3 linked regions of the Danio rerio genome follow. The protein of the gene in region 1 interacts with the protein of each later gene in a pairwise test. Links are inferred from orthologs where the notes say so. Each region holds a gene or a part of one and is shown on either strand. Other genes may lie near its edges.

What was found.
Region 2: the proteins of bbln (region 1) and thap11 interact in a two-hybrid assay, tested with the Homo sapiens proteins (2 studies listed by BioGRID and IntAct). The link is inferred for Danio rerio from reciprocal best matches to the Homo sapiens genes BBLN and THAP11.
Region 3: the proteins of bbln (region 1) and cep290 interact in binary tests that used the Homo sapiens proteins (3 or more experiments, as listed by UniProt). The two-hybrid records come from large-scale screens. The link is inferred for Danio rerio from reciprocal best matches to the Homo sapiens genes BBLN and CEP290.

What each region holds. Positions count from the first base shown.
Region 1 is NC_133180.1:1,623,100-1,629,603, forward strand, and holds the start of bbln (bublin coiled-coil protein), read left to right. Parts: upstream 1-2,845; 5' UTR 2,846-3,006; coding exon 3,007-3,082; intron 3,083-6,263; coding exon 6,264-6,484; 3' UTR 6,485-6,504. UniProt on the Homo sapiens protein: Essential for intermediate filament organization in intestinal cells, interacts with intermediate filament and regulates intestinal lumen morphology.
Region 2 is NC_133182.1:29,080,360-29,086,044, reverse strand, and holds thap11 (THAP domain-containing protein 11), read left to right. Parts: upstream 1-2,402; 5' UTR 2,403-2,525; coding exon 2,526-3,299; 3' UTR 3,300-3,820; downstream 3,821-5,685. UniProt on the Homo sapiens protein: Transcription factor, which has both transcriptional activation and repression activities. Also modulates chromatin accessibility.
Region 3 is NC_133200.1:18,972,172-18,978,595, forward strand, and holds the start of cep290 (centrosomal protein of 290 kDa), read right to left. Parts: upstream 4,166-6,424; 5' UTR 4,115-4,165; intron 3,801-4,114; 5' UTR 3,727-3,800; coding exon 3,634-3,726; intron 2,186-3,633; coding exon 2,108-2,185; intron 1,940-2,107; coding exon 1,870-1,939; intron 74-1,869; coding exon 27-73; intron 1-26. UniProt on the Homo sapiens protein: Involved in early and late steps in cilia formation. Its association with CCP110 is required for inhibition of primary cilia formation by CCP110.

The DNA of each region.
Region 1 (6,504 bases):
ACACACACAGTTACACACACAAACACAGAGACGCATAATGCACACATGCACACAGACAGACAAACACACACACAAACACACCGACAAAAAACACACACACCGACACACATAATGCACCCAGACACACACACACACACACACCGAGACAGATAAAATACACATACACAAACACACCAAGACAAATAATGCACACAGATACACACACACACCGAGACACATAACACACACACACACACACACACCGAGACAGATAAAATACACATACACAAACACACCAAGACACATAATGCACACACACACACACACACAGATAATACACACACACAAGTCACACACACAAACACACTGAGACACATTATATATACACACATAAACACACACACACACACACCCAAATACATACACACATTAGTCACACACACAAACCATAAATACACACTAAACACAGAGAAACACAATACACAGACACACAATACACACATTTAATATACAGAAAACAACACAGTAAACACACTGAGCCACAGTCACACAAACCAAACATTAAACACACACACACACACAAACACACCGACACACATAATGCACCCAGACACACACACACACACACAAAGACCGAGATAGATAAAATACACATACACAAACACACCAAGACACATAATGCACACAGATACACACACACATCGAGACACATACACACACACACACACACACACACACACACACACACACACACACACACACACACACACACACAAACAGATAATACACATACCCACACACAAACACACTGAGACACATTATATATACACATTATATAAACACAGAAAAACACAATACACAGACACACAATACACACATTTAATATACAGAAAACAACACAGTAAACACACTGAGCCACAGTCACACAAACCAAACATTAAACACACACACACACACAAACACACCGACACACATAATGCACCCAGACACACACACACAAAGACCGAGATAGATAAAATACACATACACAAACACACCAAGACACATAATGCACACAGATACACACACACATCGAGACACATACACACACACACACACACACACACACACAAACAGATAATACACATACACACACACAAACACACTGAGACACATTATATATACACATACACACACACACAGACACACACACACAAATACATACACACATTAGTCACACACACAAACCATAAATACACACTAAACACAGAGAAACACAATACACAGACACACAATACACACATTTAATAAACAGAAAACAACACAGTAAACACACTGAGCCACAGTCACACAAACCAAACATTAAACACACACACACACACAAACACACCGACACACATAATGCACCCAGACACACACACACAAAGACCGAGATAGATAAAATACACATACACAAACACACCAAGACACATAATGCACACAGATACACACACACATCGAGACACATACACATACACACACACACACACACACACACACACACACACAAACAGATAATACACATACACACACACAAACACACTGAGACACATTATATATACACATACACACACACACAGACACACACACACAAATACATACACACATTAGTCACACACACAAACCATAAATACACACTAAACACAGAGAAACACAATACACAGACACACAATACACACATTTAATAAACAGAAAACAACACAGTAAACACACTGAGCCACAGTCACACAAACAAAACATTAAACACACACACACACACCGACACACATAATGCACCCAGACAGACACAAACACACACACACATACACACATACACACACACACACACACACACACACACACACACACACAAAGACCGAGATAGATAAAATACACATACACAAACACACCAAGACACATAATGCACACAGATACACACACACATCGAGACACATACACACACACACACACACACACACAAAAACAGATAATACACATACACACACACAAACACACTGAGACACATTATATATACACATACACACACACACAGACACACACACACACACACACACACACATACAAATACATACACACATTAGTCACACACAAACCATAAATACTCACTAAACACAGAGAAACACAATACACAGACACACAATACACACATTTAATATACAGAAAACAACACAGTAAACACACTGAGCCACAGTCACACAAACCAAACATTAAACACACACACACACACAAACACACCGACAAAAAACACACACACCGACACACATAATGCACACACACACACAATTACGATAACAATTACGACACTCACGATAACAAGACTATATGAAACAGTTATTCGCCTCATCAGCAGCTGAAGTCAGTGTGTGTGTGTGTGTGTGTGTTACTGACCCTTTTCGACTCTGTGAGCTCAAAGCACGGCTGTTTCTCTAGAAATGATCTCAAGTCTTCTGGTAAATCCTCCATTATTACACAGCTAAACCCGATATGAGACAAACCCGGTGTGAAAAACAACACAACCCCAAAACTATCACCACAGAACTCTGTGAAAACACGATTAATATTAAACTAAGAGGATAAACGTGTGTGTTTTGCTGCACATGCTGAGCGGCGCGACGTCTTAAAAACTACAACATGACGTCATATAAACACGACAAAGACCCTAACGCAATGCCAGACAGAAATTTGTTTTTAAAGCTTTAAAATCATTACAGGCTTTAAAGTCACTACATAACTAATCTGTATGATCTTATTTGGTCATTATTTTAAGTTAAAATACATTTTGAGCAGAGAAAACGGGTGATTTATCATTCTGATGAGGCGCATTATTGGACAGTCCTGACAGTCAGCTGACACTCAGCTCTTCGTCGCTCGTCATCGCGTTTTTAATGTTTGTGTGGTAAATAAACATGTGTGTAGTGTCATTACATAGACAGTGTGTGTTATAACTCATATTAAAGTTGTTTTGTGAGCGTTATAATCCGCTGTTTTAGCTTGTTTCTGCGTGTAAACATGTCTGGACCGAACGGAGATCCCGATATTTCAGCTGAAGGAATAATCGAGGATGAAGATGAGTTCAACGAAGAAGGTTAATAATGACGCTTTATTTGATTATTTTCTGCTATTTCTTAACGGTTTTATTATACTATTCGTTTTTTTTAAATAAATAAGTTTACAATGTTATATACAGCCTATAATATATAAATATAAAACCGTGTAAATTTCAGTTTTTCTTTATTTATTGTGTATTGGTTGGACTAAAATGTAAACATTTGCATTATTTTAAAATAAAGGCCCCGAATTTAAAGTAAAAAAATATAGAAAATAAGCTTATTCTATCTAATATTGAGTTATTCATTTTCTGAAGTCAAACACTTATGTTGACTAAAATGAATATAAACATGTGAAAACACAGCATTTTGGGTTATTTTATGACAAAAAATGCTTTAAACTAGCTATTTTACTTATAATTTCTAAGAAATGTCATGAGTAGTTTACAGAATTAAACCAAATTTATGTTTTACTCACACGTACCTAAATAATAAATCCAGAGAAAGAGAGCAACGTTAGCACACACACACACACACACACACACACACACACACTCACACACACACACACACACACACACACACACACACACACACACACACACACACACACACACACACACTTTAAACAAAAAATAATAAATAGTACTAAATAATATGCCATATTTAGGTCTTAATATTTGCAGTGTAAAACCTTTTTTTTTTTTTTAAATATGAACACTACAATAGCACAGAAATAATGGAAAAGTCCAGTGGATGACTAACGTCTGCTAGATGTTAAAACCATCGTTGTGTCAGCGAAACATCCTGAAAGAGGAGCCAAAGAAAGAGGAAGTGTGTGTGTGCAGAGCTGTGCTGATTACTTATGAAATGTAATAAGTTACTGATTACAAATTACATGACAAAATTAGTAATCAGTAATACAATCTCATAGATTACACATTTGTGGTAATGTAACCAAGCTACTTAAATTTCATTTAGATTACTTTTGAACTACTGATTACATCATAAAATTAGTAATCAGTAATGTAATCTGTTAGATTATGGCAATGTAATCTGATTACTTTTGGATTAGATTTACATTTTTTTAACTGTTCTCAGTTACTGATTACAAATACCATGGCAATATTACTCAGTAATATAAGACGTTTATGGCAAGTAACCTGACTACTTTTGGATTACATTTAGATTACCTTTTAACTTTAATCAATTGCTAATTACAAATTACATGACAAAATCTGTAGTAATTTCGTCTGTTAGATTACACAGTTATGGTAATGTAATCTAACTACTTTTAGATTGCATTTAGATAACTTTTTTTACTGCTGATTACAAATTACATGACAAATTGTGCAGTCAGTAATAAAATAAATTAGGTTACGCATTTGTGGTAATGTAACAAAAGGACTTGGATTACATTTAGATTGCTTTTAATTACTGATTACATGATAAAAATATTAATCAGTAATGTATTCTGTTGGATTACGCATTTATGGTAACGCAATCTGACTACTTTTGGATAACATTTAAATTACTTGTGAATTAATTAGTTACTAATTACAAATTACTAAATTAGTAGTCAGTAATATAATCTCTTAGATTACACATTTTTGGTAATGTAATCAGACGTCTTTAAATTTAAATTACTTTTAAACAGTAATCATTGCTGGTTACAAATTACATGATCAGATTAGTAATCGGTAATACAATCTCTTAGATTACATATTTGTGGTAATGTAACCAAAGTACTTGGATTACATTTAGATTACTTTTGAATTACTGATTACAAATTACATTTTAAAATTGGTAATCAGTATTGTATTCTGTTGGACTTCGCAATTATGTAAATCTGACTACTTTTGGATTACATTTAGATTACTTTCGAAATGTACTCAGTTACAGATTACAAATACCATGACAAAACTAGTCAGTAATATAATACAATTATGGTAATGTAATCAGACTACTTTTGGATTACATTTAGATTACTTTTTTTAACGGTAATCAACTGCTTATTGCAAACTACATGACAAATTGTGTAGTCAGTAATAAAATATATTAGATTACATGTGTGGTAATGTACCAAAGGACTTGGATTACATTTAGATTACTTTTAAATTACTGATTACATGATAAAAATAGTAATCAGTAATGTATTCTGTTGAATTACACGTTTATGGTAACGCAATCTGACTATGGATTACATTTAAATTACTTGTGAACTAATTAGATACTGATTACAGATTACTAAATTAGAAGTCAGTAATATAATCTCTTAGATTACACATTTGTGGTGATGTAACGAAAGGACTTGGATTACATTTAGATTACTTTTGAATCATTGATTACATGATACAATTAGTAATCAGTGATATAATCTGTTGGATTACACGTTTAAGGTAACCTAATCTCACTACATGTGGATTATTAACTAAACTGTTACTGATTACAGATTACATGAGAAAATGTTTTGTCAGTAATATAATCACTTAGATTACACATTTTTTGGTAATGTAATCAGACGTCTTTTGGATTAAATTGAGATTACTTTCAAACAGTAATCAATTGCTGGTTACAAATTATATGATCAAATTATTAGTAATCGGTAATACAATCTCTTAGATTACACATTTGTGGTAATGTAACCAAAGTACTTGGATTACATTTAGATTACTTTTGAATTACTGATTATTACAAATTACATGATAACATTAATAATCAGTAATATATTCTGTTAGATTACACATTTATGGTTATGTAATCTGACTACTTTTGGATTACATTTAGATTACTTTCAAACTGTTCACAGTTACTGATTACAAATTACATGACAAAATTAGTCAGTAATAAAATACATTTATGGTAATGCCATCTGACTACTTTTGGATTACATTTAGATTACTTTTATGCTAACCCATCTCTGATGTCACATACACTGATGCAGGATAATCTTGTTCTGTTTTGACAGATAGAAATAAAAATATATCTTCAGGATATTATTATAAACAAGTATAAACATTAAACACGAGGAGAATAAATGAATTGTGAATAATTTGCAGCCACTGTGTAAATGTAATCCACAAAAGTAATCCGATTAGCAGTATTTAAAAAAATACTTACTTGATTTTGGTAAATCTGATGAGGTGATCCAGATTACAGCTGCTATGTGTTTTCCTCAACGTTCAGCTGTTATAATGTGTTATGCTGTGTTTTCGTTAGAGTACGCAGCCATCGACTCCATGCTGGACCAGATCAACTCCTGTCTGGACGACATCGAGGAGCGAAACGATGCTCTGAACGGGAAACTGCAGGAGCTGCTGGAGTCCAACAGAGCGGCGCGCAGAGACTTCAGACAGCAGATCACGGACCATGCAGATCTTCCTCCTCCTGCTAATGATGATGAAGATGAACAGTCCAGGGACGCACAGAAGAAAGACTAAAGGAATGTCTCTGTCTGACA
Region 2 (5,685 bases), on another chromosome or scaffold:
TACAGAGCTTTAACCTTTGTGCTAATTCAGTGCCTTTTATTTGTATTTCTCCACAGGAGGTTACTTACCGCAACACAAAGCTCCGGGTCGGGATGCGATGGCGCTGGTGCTGTGGAGAATGATGATGAACAGAGGATAGTGGACGGACACCTCCCTCCCTGCCTTTCTGATCAACACTAGACAGGACTCGGAGCTCTCATGTCAACCAAACGGCTTGAGGAAACACTGGGCAAACTCGTCACACCTTAAGCCCTCTCAACCTTACGTACGGAATATTCTTGGTCCGTGTTGAAATCACAGTGCGTTGTTGTTCCATCTACAAACCTACAGTTGTGTCTGCTGCTGCGCTCTTGCCTACTGCTGTGTAGGCTGATCTCCAATGCGAGACTTTCGGTAAACTGCGCATGCGCCACCCTGTCGTGTTCTTTTTCTGCCACGCCCATATGTTGAACTCTCACATTCCATTCAGTCCCTCCAGCTAGAGGCACAAACACGTGTTTTCGCTGTTAGGTATTGTTTTGCTAAACAAATATAGGACATGTTTGAGAACAGAGCAAAAAAAGTAGTTTGAAACACATTTCGGCATGCCACATACATCTAGTTAATATTCTTTTACTTGCAAACTTTCATAAACACAAATGTGAGTAAATCTGCAAGAGTATACTAATATTTTACACACACACACACACACACACACACACACACACACACACACACACACACACACACACACACACACACATATATATATATATATATATATATATATATATATATATATATATATATGTGTGTGTGTGTGTGTGTGTGTGTGTATATATATATTGACAAGTATCTGTTGGCTCGCCTCACAGCAAGAAGGACGCTGGTTTGAGCCTCGGCTGGGTCGGCTGGCATTTCTGTGTGGAGTTTGCATGTTCTCCCCGTGTGGCGATTTTCCCCACAAGTCCAAAGACATGCTGTACAGGTGAATTGGGTAAGCTAAAATTGTTTGTGAACGAGAGTGTAAGTATGGGTGTTTCCCAGTGATGGGTTGCAGCTGCATAAAAACACAGCTGGATTAGTTAGCGGTTCATTCCGCTGTGTCGACCACTGATTAATAAAGGGACTAAGCTGAAAATAAAATAAATGATCATACAAATCAGTTATTATTTTAAATGTTTCGGCAGTGTGGCTACAAATATTCAAAACATCACAGAAAGTTAAGGGAAAATTAAATATTTAATGTTATCATTTCTTTAAAAGGTTTTAATCTCTAAAAGAACATTCTGTTTATCTTATGTACAAACGCTTATTTACACTGTGTTTGGGGCTTATCGTGAAGATAAGCACCTTAGTTTGACCTTTGAGTGATGCTTTGGACCCTCTGTCTGTCATATGATCATAGGCTAAGGCTACATAATACTTTTGTGGGTTATGTCATTATGTGCAGCTGTTAAAGAATATGTCATAACTTCTTTGTGGCTTTTCTCTGTTGATCATGCTTTTGTGTCATGATGTCCTTATTTTCAGTCTCTGAAAAAGACTGAGACATTATTCACTATTATTATTAATTAACTATTACAGATGGGGGCGAGGCAGTGGTGCAGTAGGTAGTGCTGTCGCCTCAGCAAGAAGGTCGCTGGTTTGAACCTCGGCTCAGTTGGCGTTTCTGTGTGGAGTTTGCATGTTCTCCCTGCCTTCGGGTGGGTTTCCTCCGGGTGCTCTGGTTTCCCCCACAGTCCAAAGACATGCGGTAATGGTAAATTGGGTAGACTAAATTGTCCGTAGTGTATGAGAGTGCGTGTGTGAATGTTTCCCAGAAATGGGTTGCAGCTGGAAGAGCATCTGCTGTGTAAAAACTTGCTGGATAAGATGGCAGTTCATTCCGCTATGGCAACCCCAGATTAATAAAGCCGACAAAAAAATGAATGAATGAATGATTACAGATGGACTGTCTTGTTTATATTCCAGACTTACTGAGTCTCAGTATCAAAGTAAGCTGTGCTATTTCTTTAAACTGGCCCCCGTGTAAATGTTACATTACAGTAGCACGAGGATATGCTTTTAATGTTTTATATGCTTTATGTATTGTTATTAATTATGTTTTGTTTGTTTGTTTGGCTTTTTGGAGTCATTCTGTATAAAAGGTAGACTCTACATTTTATATTTAAACGTTGGAAGTGGTGATGGACGGTACACCATCGTACTTTACATTGATCAACACAATGTGGTGATAAAACTAGTTCGGTTTATTGCATAAACACGTCTCATTTTGATGCACACAGTGCACGTTAAAGACGTAAACACAGTATTGCGACACTGGTGTTTTTTTACACTGTGAAGTGCTCAAAAGGCGCCAATCTGCGCAGACGCGAGATCGACAAGCATTTGAAACCAAAACAGGAAGTTGTAAGTATTGTGGGACGTGTAGTTCCGCTTGTAGGCCGCTGGTCTGGATAACAGCACACGAAGGAACCAAACAAAACTAAAATAGGTACACTTGTAAGGCACTGCAGTATTACTGGTGCATCTTTTACACAATCATGCCCGGCTTCACTTGCTGCGTGCCCGGATGCTACAACAACTCACACCGGGACCGCGATCTGCGATTCTACACCTTTCCAAAGGATCCCACTCAGCGAGAGATATGGCTGAAGAACATTTCGCGGGCCGGGGTGAGCGGCTGCTTTAGCACTTTCCAGCCCACCACCGGTCACCGGGTCTGCAGCGTCCACTTCCCCGGCGGCAGAAAGACCTACACCATCCGCGTCCCGACGCTTTTCCCTCTGCGCGGGGTGAACGAGAGACGGAGCAGACGCGGCCGGAGCAGGAAGGTTTCTGCGGTCGTGCCCATCATCACCAGCGTCGTGTCCACCGCTAACGAGACCGCTCCGCTGGAGGAGGACGAGGAGGAGGGGGACATCGAAAACACCACCGTGGTGCAGATCGGCCAGAACGGCCAGTACATCGCGCCCGTGGACCTCACGTCGTCCGGGGACGGCTCGTGCATCACAGCGGTGGTGTCCGGCGGAGAGGAGTCCGCTGTCCACGAGTCGTGCTCCGTGGCCGATTTCGCGCTGTGCGGGGCGGATCATTCGTACTCGCTCACCACCGGCACAACGTCCACGGAGCTGCTGCGAAAGCTGAACGAGCAGCGGGACATAATCGCGCTGATGGAGATCAAAATGAAGGAGATGAAGAACACCATCCGGCAGCTGCGAGTCACCGAGGCACGGCTGCAGGACGAGCTGCGGCAGCGCGAGCAGGAGCGCGAACGGCTGATCTGCGCCAACACCATCATCAAGAGGAAACTCTGACGAACAACCGGGACCTAAGATGGACTGGAGACGCGTAGGACGGTCTGTGCTTCTGTGCGACGACAATTGAGCATCATCGTAGTTCTCATTGAAACTTCCTCCAGGACTCGGATAGGGCAGATGAGCTGTGTGTATGTGCGTGTTTGAGCGCAGAAGCACGAGCTGTCAGGCACAGCACTACACGGAGACTGACGGGAGATCAGCGGACGGGTCCTACTCATTTTATATTTAATGTCGTTTGTTTGTTTGTTTGTTTGTTTGTTTGTTTGTTTGTGCGAGGAAGGCGGCAGACTCGAGGTTTGCCTTCTGCCACACTTCATGACCATGTAACATGCGCGCGCACACAGAGACTGCTTCATGTTAGTGCGTAATAATCAAATGCTTCTCATTTGGTTTTTCTTTCCTTGTTTTTAATATCCGAGTGCATCAGAGCTTCTGGCACAGGTGAACTATTTCTATACATGCAGGTTAATGCAGTTAGAAAAGGTAAATGGTTTGAAGTAAACTGCTTTTGAACTATATGACACGTGAGAGTGAGACTCTTTTTTTTTTTGGTGTGATATTTAAGCAAACAATGATTGTTATATTTTTGTAAGACACTTTTCTTTTAGTTTTTATTCTTGTGGTAGCACATTTTCCATCACATTTATGAATTGTCTTCAGTAAAATAGAAGCTAATTGACCAATGATTCTAACATTTAAATATTGTGGGCAGATGATATTGACTCTTAAAAGTCATCATTTACTAATCCAGCATTTGTTTTAATATGTTTGAGGTTTCTTTCTTCTTTTGAACACTAAATATATTTTGAAGCATGTTGGAAACCAGTAGCCACTGACTTTAGTATTTCCATCCTATTATGGAAGTCAAAGGCTATATGTCAAAAACATTCTTCTTAATTTTATCAGAAAAAAAATCTCTAAAGGTAAGGACCATTTTACTTTTGGGGTTTTTGTTATTAGCAACACTGGTGGCTGTTAGGTGAACTGCAGCCACCCATTAACTTGTTGCTCATCTCTCTCTCTCTCTCTCACACACACACAATTAAAATGCAATTCAATGACCCAGCATACTCATGTCAAGGTTAATTTTCATTCTGTCTAGAAAAGGAAAAAATAACAATATATAAATAATATATATATATATATATATATATATATATATATATATATATATATATATATATATATATATATATATATATAAACAGAATATTAGGGCTGGGTTCTGATCCAGATTGCACATAGAAGGTAAATCGCATCATAACAAACTATCTAAAGACATGGGGGATTTATAATTATAATTGCAGTAAATTGTGGAAGCATTAAAAGTGTCCAAGATGTCCAAAATCTTTACACGCATTGACCCAAAGACTGTTTAGATGCATGTCACTGATGAGGAGATGACAAATGTTTACTGTATGATGATGTAAACAAAATGGCAGTAAAAAAACACCCAGCAGGCACAAGACGTCAACATGATGTCAGAATGACGTTGTGGCGACGCTGCATTTTGTTTGAAAATGAAAATCGGGTTGGCGTCAGAACTCAATGTCAGGCCGACGTCAATGTCCAACAACCAACTCAAAATCAACCAAATGTCAACGTGTAATGATGTTACAGCTTGACGTTGTGTGGAAGATGTTGGCTCAATGTTGGATTTTGGTCCCTTTCTAACACCACCTAAAATCAACCAAATATTAACACCATTTGACGTTGTTATTGGACATCAAAATGACTTTGTCCTTGGACGCTGGCTAGACATTGAATTTTGGTCACCTGACATCACAACCTAACCTAATATTAATATCTTATGGCGTTGCGTGCCTGCTGGACAATACCTAAATGCACTACAGAATGTTACAATGTTACAAATTGCATGAAAACGGAGTACTTTGAGTAATATTTACAACAAACACTTTTACTACATATTTGGGCAAGTAATGGTAATTTTACTTAAGTATGATTTTTCAGTCCTCTTTCCACTACTGCTAATTGACTCAGTTTGATTCGATTCATTGACTACAGATTTAATAAAAATACTGCTGACAGCTCTAAAAATGAACAGTGATCAGGAGTTTACATATGATGAATTAGTAAAAAGAAAATAAGAGCCATATAGCTGTATACTAAATTATTCATGCAAACTCTAATTGACGTTTTATTGAAACATGGAGAAAATAATTTAAAGCTTTTTAAATATAATAACTAAATCTAAAATAAGTTGAAACTTTTTTAACTATTTCCCCCAGCCCTAATAAAATGTGTTGCTCAATTTAAAAGAAAGAAAGTAATAAAACTGTTGAGAGAATGAATTGGATTTGTAGCAATGTGGGTATTTTTGCACATGCTTTGCAATCTAATGGCATCCTGTGAACAGATGACA
Region 3 (6,424 bases), on another chromosome or scaffold:
TTCACTTAGCCAAACATCTCCCTTACCTCCAGCTCACTTTCCAGCTTTAAGACTTTGGCTTTCAGCTCATTTTCTGCAATCAATAAAACAAAATATAAACAATTACCCTCCTCACAAAGCTGTAGGACCTAAGACTTTGTTAGATAATTTCATCCTTAGGTTTGCCAAATAGGCATGAAATTTGCAAATTTTTTTTCTACACTACTGTGACGAATACTTGAGTGGACACAAACTCAAAACTCAACTGGGCACAAAAATCTTAAACTCAAAAAGAAAAGTAGGGCGGGACTTGATTTTGTCTCTCTGGAATTGATTGGGTTGTTGTAATTTTCTACTGGTTGTGAATGACATCAAAAACAACAATAATTAATTATAAATAATTCATTTACAGAAATGGTACAACCTCAAATCAGAAAAGATTGGGACATTATGGAAAACCCAAATAAAAAAGAAATGTCTAATTTACATTGACTAATTTTATTTCAGACAATACAACACACATTATTTGATCTGTTCCTCATTGTTATTTTTTTTAAATAAACACATTCCAAGTTTGGTTTTCGCAACACATTTAAAAAAAGTTAGAACAGTAAAGCATTTACCACTTTGTATGGTGCCATTCCTTTTCACAACACTTAAAAGACGTTTGCAGACTGAAGACACTAAATTGATAAAGTGTTTCAGGTGTAATCTTGTCCCATTCTTCCTGCAAGCCTTACAGTGGGCAACAGCACATGATCTTTATTGTTGCAATTTGTGCCCTCAAAATGCACCACATATTCTCTATTGGAGACAGGTTCGGACTGCATGCAGGCCAGTCAAGTACCTGTATCCTCTTTCTCCGCAGCCAGGACTTGTAATGTGTTCAGAATGTGGTTTTGCATTGGCTTGTTGAAATGTGCATGGGGGTCCCTGGAAAAGACGGCAACATATTGTCTACAAAACCTCTATGTACTTTTCAGCATTAATGGTGCCATCACAGAAGTGCAAGTACCAAGTGCCAAGGTATTTAATTTCCCCTAAAAATACTTGAAATACTGATTCATCTAACCACAGCACACACTTTCATTGTGTGATGGTCCATCCCAGATGTCTCAGAGCCCAGAGAAGTTGACAGCACTTCTGGACACTGTTAACATAGGGCTTCCTTTTGGCACAGTAAAGTTTTAACTGGCATTTGTGGATGTAACATATTGTGGAAAATGTTTGTCAAAGTAGTCCTGAGCCCATGTGGTGATATTACTTATAGATGAATGACGATTCTTGATACAGTGCTGGGATCGGAGATTATGATAGTTCAGCTTAGGCTTGCAACCTTGTCCTTTACACACTGAAATTCCTTCAGACTACCTGAATCTTATAATTATGTTTTGCACTGAAGGTGAAATTTTCAAATGTCTTCCTATCTTTCTTTGAGGACCTTGTTTTTAAACATTTTAATAATTTTCTTATGTGTTTGTTTCAAAGTGGCGATCCCCCGCCCATCTTTGCTCCTAAAGGACTAGACCTTTCTTGGATGCTGTTTTTGTACCAGATCATAATTACAATCACCTGTTGACACTACCTGTTTCAAATCACATCAATATTTAACCAATTTACCAGATTATCATCCCTAAACTGCTCCTGTCACAACTTTTTTGGAATGTGTTGCAGGTATGAATGACAGGAAGGGATGCATATTTAAATGAAATTGAAATTGACCTGACAAAACATGAAATATTTTGTGTTTATATTGTCTGCAATGAAATACAAGTCAAAGCAAATTTGGAAATCACTACTTTCTTTTTTTTTTTGCGTTTTCCATGCTGCGTTTTCACATGCTGTGATTTGTTCTGGAGATGCTTAAAACCTAGCAATGATTATACATACCAATTCTTGCTTGTTCTGCCCCTGCGCTGTCTACAACCTCATAGGCACATTTAATTTCATCCAGTTTCATCTAAAAACCCAAACATAAATAATAACATTAACTGATTCATAACAACAAATGCTCATGATAATTCAATGACCATACAACATAATTAAAAGAAATCTGGTAAATGTTAACTACTACATAACTACTGTACGCAGTGCTGCAAACATTGCGTAAATGATGAATCAGCCCTACCCTCAGAAGGGTTTGTGAGATCCTAAAGAGTTGAATCATTTTCTCAGAATCATCTGCTTTTAGGTCCCGTGGTTTGACCTGTATGCAAAAGAAATTTATTATCAGACAAATTTGCAAGAAGAATGTTTTCTTCCTTAAACATTCCGATAAGCGGATGTTAGCCTGAAAGCAAGACCTGAGGCTGGAGATGCTCTGTGGTTTGGCTTGAAAGAATAAACAATAAATATTTTTTTGAACATGCAACCACAAACACACACAATAACTGAGCATTAAGTTTGTAACTTCACATATTCACACTAAATAGTTTGTATTACTAGTAGTTAAATATAATTTTATCATTTATTTACTAAAAAAATAAAACCAGAAAACACAAACAAATATATAAATATAAAAACATACACCAAATCTCTTTTGATCAAGTATATATCCAATATATATAGTATGTGTAAATAAATATGTATAAATGAAAAAACTGTCTAAAGTGCCATTTTAACTATTGCATATAATTTAATTTATTTTGCACAGTCTGAGTCCTGTTGTTAATTGTAGCGTTTAAAATGATAGAAATGTGTAAGTAATAAAGCTCCCAGTATAGTTTACAACATATTTATATTTTGTGAAAAATAAATTGCAGTTATAACTGATTAACAGATGCAATTTATTCAGTAAACAACGGTTTAACAAAATAGAAAAAATATGTAATTTGTCCTTACTAATTATGTTTATCTTACCCTCCACTGTACTAAAAACATATTGGGTGATATCAGAATGAGTTATATACACCAGTGTTTCTCAACCACGTTCCAAGAGGACCACCAGCCTTGCACATTTTCCATGTTTTCTTAACCAAACACACCAAATTCAAATCATTAGCTCATTAGTAGACTGAAAGGCCTGTAATGGATAGAGGTAAAGTTGGTTTTCTTTTCGCACATTCGTTCATTTAGAAGTCCCTAAATTGTTTACCATGTTACTTTGAATATTCGTATGACTCCTAATCAACATTAACACTATCTAATTCACTGTGAACAATGCTGTACTTTGATAGTTATTTGCTGCTAATAAGATTTCTCTATTAAAAATTTGCAAAGAAGTTATCTAAATTATATTACTAATGAGAATGTCTCAATATCCAAATATAAAACCAACTTTACCTCTATCTGTTATGAGTGTGACACCCAAAACATGCAATGATGGTGGTCCCACAGGAATGTGTTTCAGAAACACTAATTTACACAACCATAATTCTATTCAAGAATGTTGAGTCTAAAATACATTTTTTAATGATCACATATTGTGTGTGTGATCATTAAAAAAAAAATATAAAAAAAAAAAAAAAAAAAAAAAAAAATATATATATATATATATATATATATATATATATATATATATATATATATATATATATATATATATAAGTGTTTCTTTAATAATTGCAACTCCAGATTGTTGTATTGTAGTTGCAGATTGTTGTAACATCTAGCTACACTCCTCACAATTAGTGTGCCTCAAACGTGTCAGATTACCATTAAAATCAAATCACAGATCTTCTCATCCTCATCCCCCAGATCCTCTGGATCCATTCCCATGAGGAGCCGCCAGTCTGCGGCCGCAGGCATTCTTCAGGTCAGCTGCAAATGTCCCCCAGAGCTGAACTGAACAACTGATGCTGAGATTGCCAGTCTTTTTCTACCTACAGACAACATGCAAAACGAATGTAGTTTATTTCTTCACACGGACTTCTCATTGAAAACAACACCATATACCGTCACAGCACAAAAGAGTCATAGCAGAATAATAAATACACGACAAAACGCCATGCTAAATATATTAGCCAGACATATAACGTTAGTTAGTTCTCACAATGTCGATAATTAGAAATGCATGCAATTGCTCGTATTTGGGTTGGTTTTGTTCGTTAGCATAAACCTAAATTTGAACACGTCTTAATGTCAACTTTTACACATATTTGTGAAACTAAAGACACTGAAAATAACGTTTTCAGACCTTATTAAGCCATCTTGGGTTCCTCTTGCGCTCCCGCTGCTGCTAGGCAACAAGGAAAACAGTCGTAAAACGTAACGTCGTAAAATTGTCTCTGTTTGGATTCTTTTTAAAAAAAATATTTCCTTTATACGCGGTCCATTCATTATAAGGGAATCACAACTAAAACCATATATCTATCTGTGTCTATACGTTATTTGAAATGGCATTACAGAAACACAAAATCCGCGAACGGCTACTCTGTAATTCCCTACTTTTGTTGTGCCAGGCATTTTGACCCGGAAGCAGTTGTTGGACTCTGTTAATTCAATGCCGTGGATCGAACTTGCTGCTTTAGTCAACATAAACAAACATATTCTCTTTTCATTTAGCTTTTCCCCAGACATGACAAGGTGAGTTGCTTTAATTACATCCTAGCGATGACTGCTGACAGAGAAGATATTGTGAAATGACTGAAACCAGTGAATGCTAAAAGCACAGCTGAAGTTATGTTTGTTCTTTAAACCCAGCAGTCTTTTATGTGTCCAGTTGTCTTTTTATTTTCACTAAAATGTAGCTTATTTTTTACGCTTGGTTGTTGTGTCGATGTTTTATTTTCTGACTGTAATGTGTTAATTAATCGATTGATCTGAATGTAAAACAAATGCTAACTGATAGCATATGATCTGTGAGGCTGCGCCCTCTCTGCTCCGCTCAGTCCACACAGATTATCCCATTATTACTGCGATTAATCTGCTCTTTTATTGCTGCATTTCGTAGCTGCTTAAGGACGTAATGCAGTATTCTAATATAAACTTGTTTTAGAAAGGTTATATACAATTTCTGAGGCTTTTAAAAGGTTTTCCAGGGATGGAAAAGGTCATCGAAATGAATGAAATATTGAAAGATTGACGATTATGTATTTGTATGTATGTTTATTTATTTATATGTCCGATCTGGTCTAAAACATTCACAAAGTACATTTACTTCTCATTATTGTTTTAGTATTATCTAAACACTGTTATAGTATTTCTTTATGTTTCAATTAGTTACTTCATTAGTATGCTTCAAGTAAATTGTAGTCATTTTGATAATTTAACAAAAAATACATTTACCTGTATCAATTCTAGTTTTCATTTAGAGGTTCTAACATTTTCTTTCAGCTTTATGTAAAATAAACAAAACCAATCACAATGATAAAACCACATCAAAATTACAGGAACCTTAAATAGTGAAAATGTATTAAACATAAATAATATAATTGAACACTGTTGCTTCACAGCAAGAAGGTCGCTGGTTCGAGTCCCAGCTGGGCTAGTTGGCATTTCTGTGTGGAGTTGCATGTTCTCCCCGTGTTGGTGTGGGTTTCCTCCGGGTGCTCCGGTGCTTACTCTCTCCTTAGTAATTTAATTTCACAAAATCATTTTTCGCAAACTCTAAATTTTAAAATTAATTTAACATCTAATGACAATCAAAGTACAACATGGTTCACAGTCACAGTTAAATAGGTCTGATGTTGTTTTGAAGTCATATTAATAGGCATGGGCTGGTATAAGATTCTGACGGTATGATAACCTTGGATATAAATATCACAGTTTTGCGGTGTCGCGGTATGGAGATTATTGCTCTAAAATATATTCTTTTTAAATGTCTGGGTAAAAAACAAAACATTTTCCCCTTTGTACACTATATATTTTCATTTGAGAAACATTTAAAGTATTTTGGAGCAGTAAACGTGAGGCTAAATAATTTAAACGAATTTTAGACTTCTGCTGTCTTCATTTATTTCAAAAACACTAAAAAGAACACTATTGTCCCTAAAAACGAACTGTTTTTAACTGTTTTAAAACCTTGACTTTTCCAAACCGCTGCATACCTTGAACACAGTTATCGTCCCATGCCTACATACTAACATGTGATTTCAGACCCAATATTCAAAATACCATGGTAAACAATATAGGGAGCATACCACAACCTGTCACTGACTGAATGTGCGAATGTAAAACCAACTTTACCTCTTTTTAACTTTAAGACATGCACTATAGGTGATATGAATGAACTTAATTGGCCGTAGTGAATGTGAGAGTGTATGGGTGTTTCCCAGTGATTGGTTGCAGCTGGAAGGGCATCCACTGCGTGAAACATATGCCACTATAGTTGGTGGTTCATTCCACAGTGGCAAATCCTGATAAATAAGGGACTAATTTGAAGGAAAATAAATGAAAGAATGAAGAACTGAAGAATTTGTTTTTCTAACTAACCAATCAACAATTTCCTACTGATAATAGACATTATCAAGTAATTACGTTATTATACAGTTTGGAATGGCATATG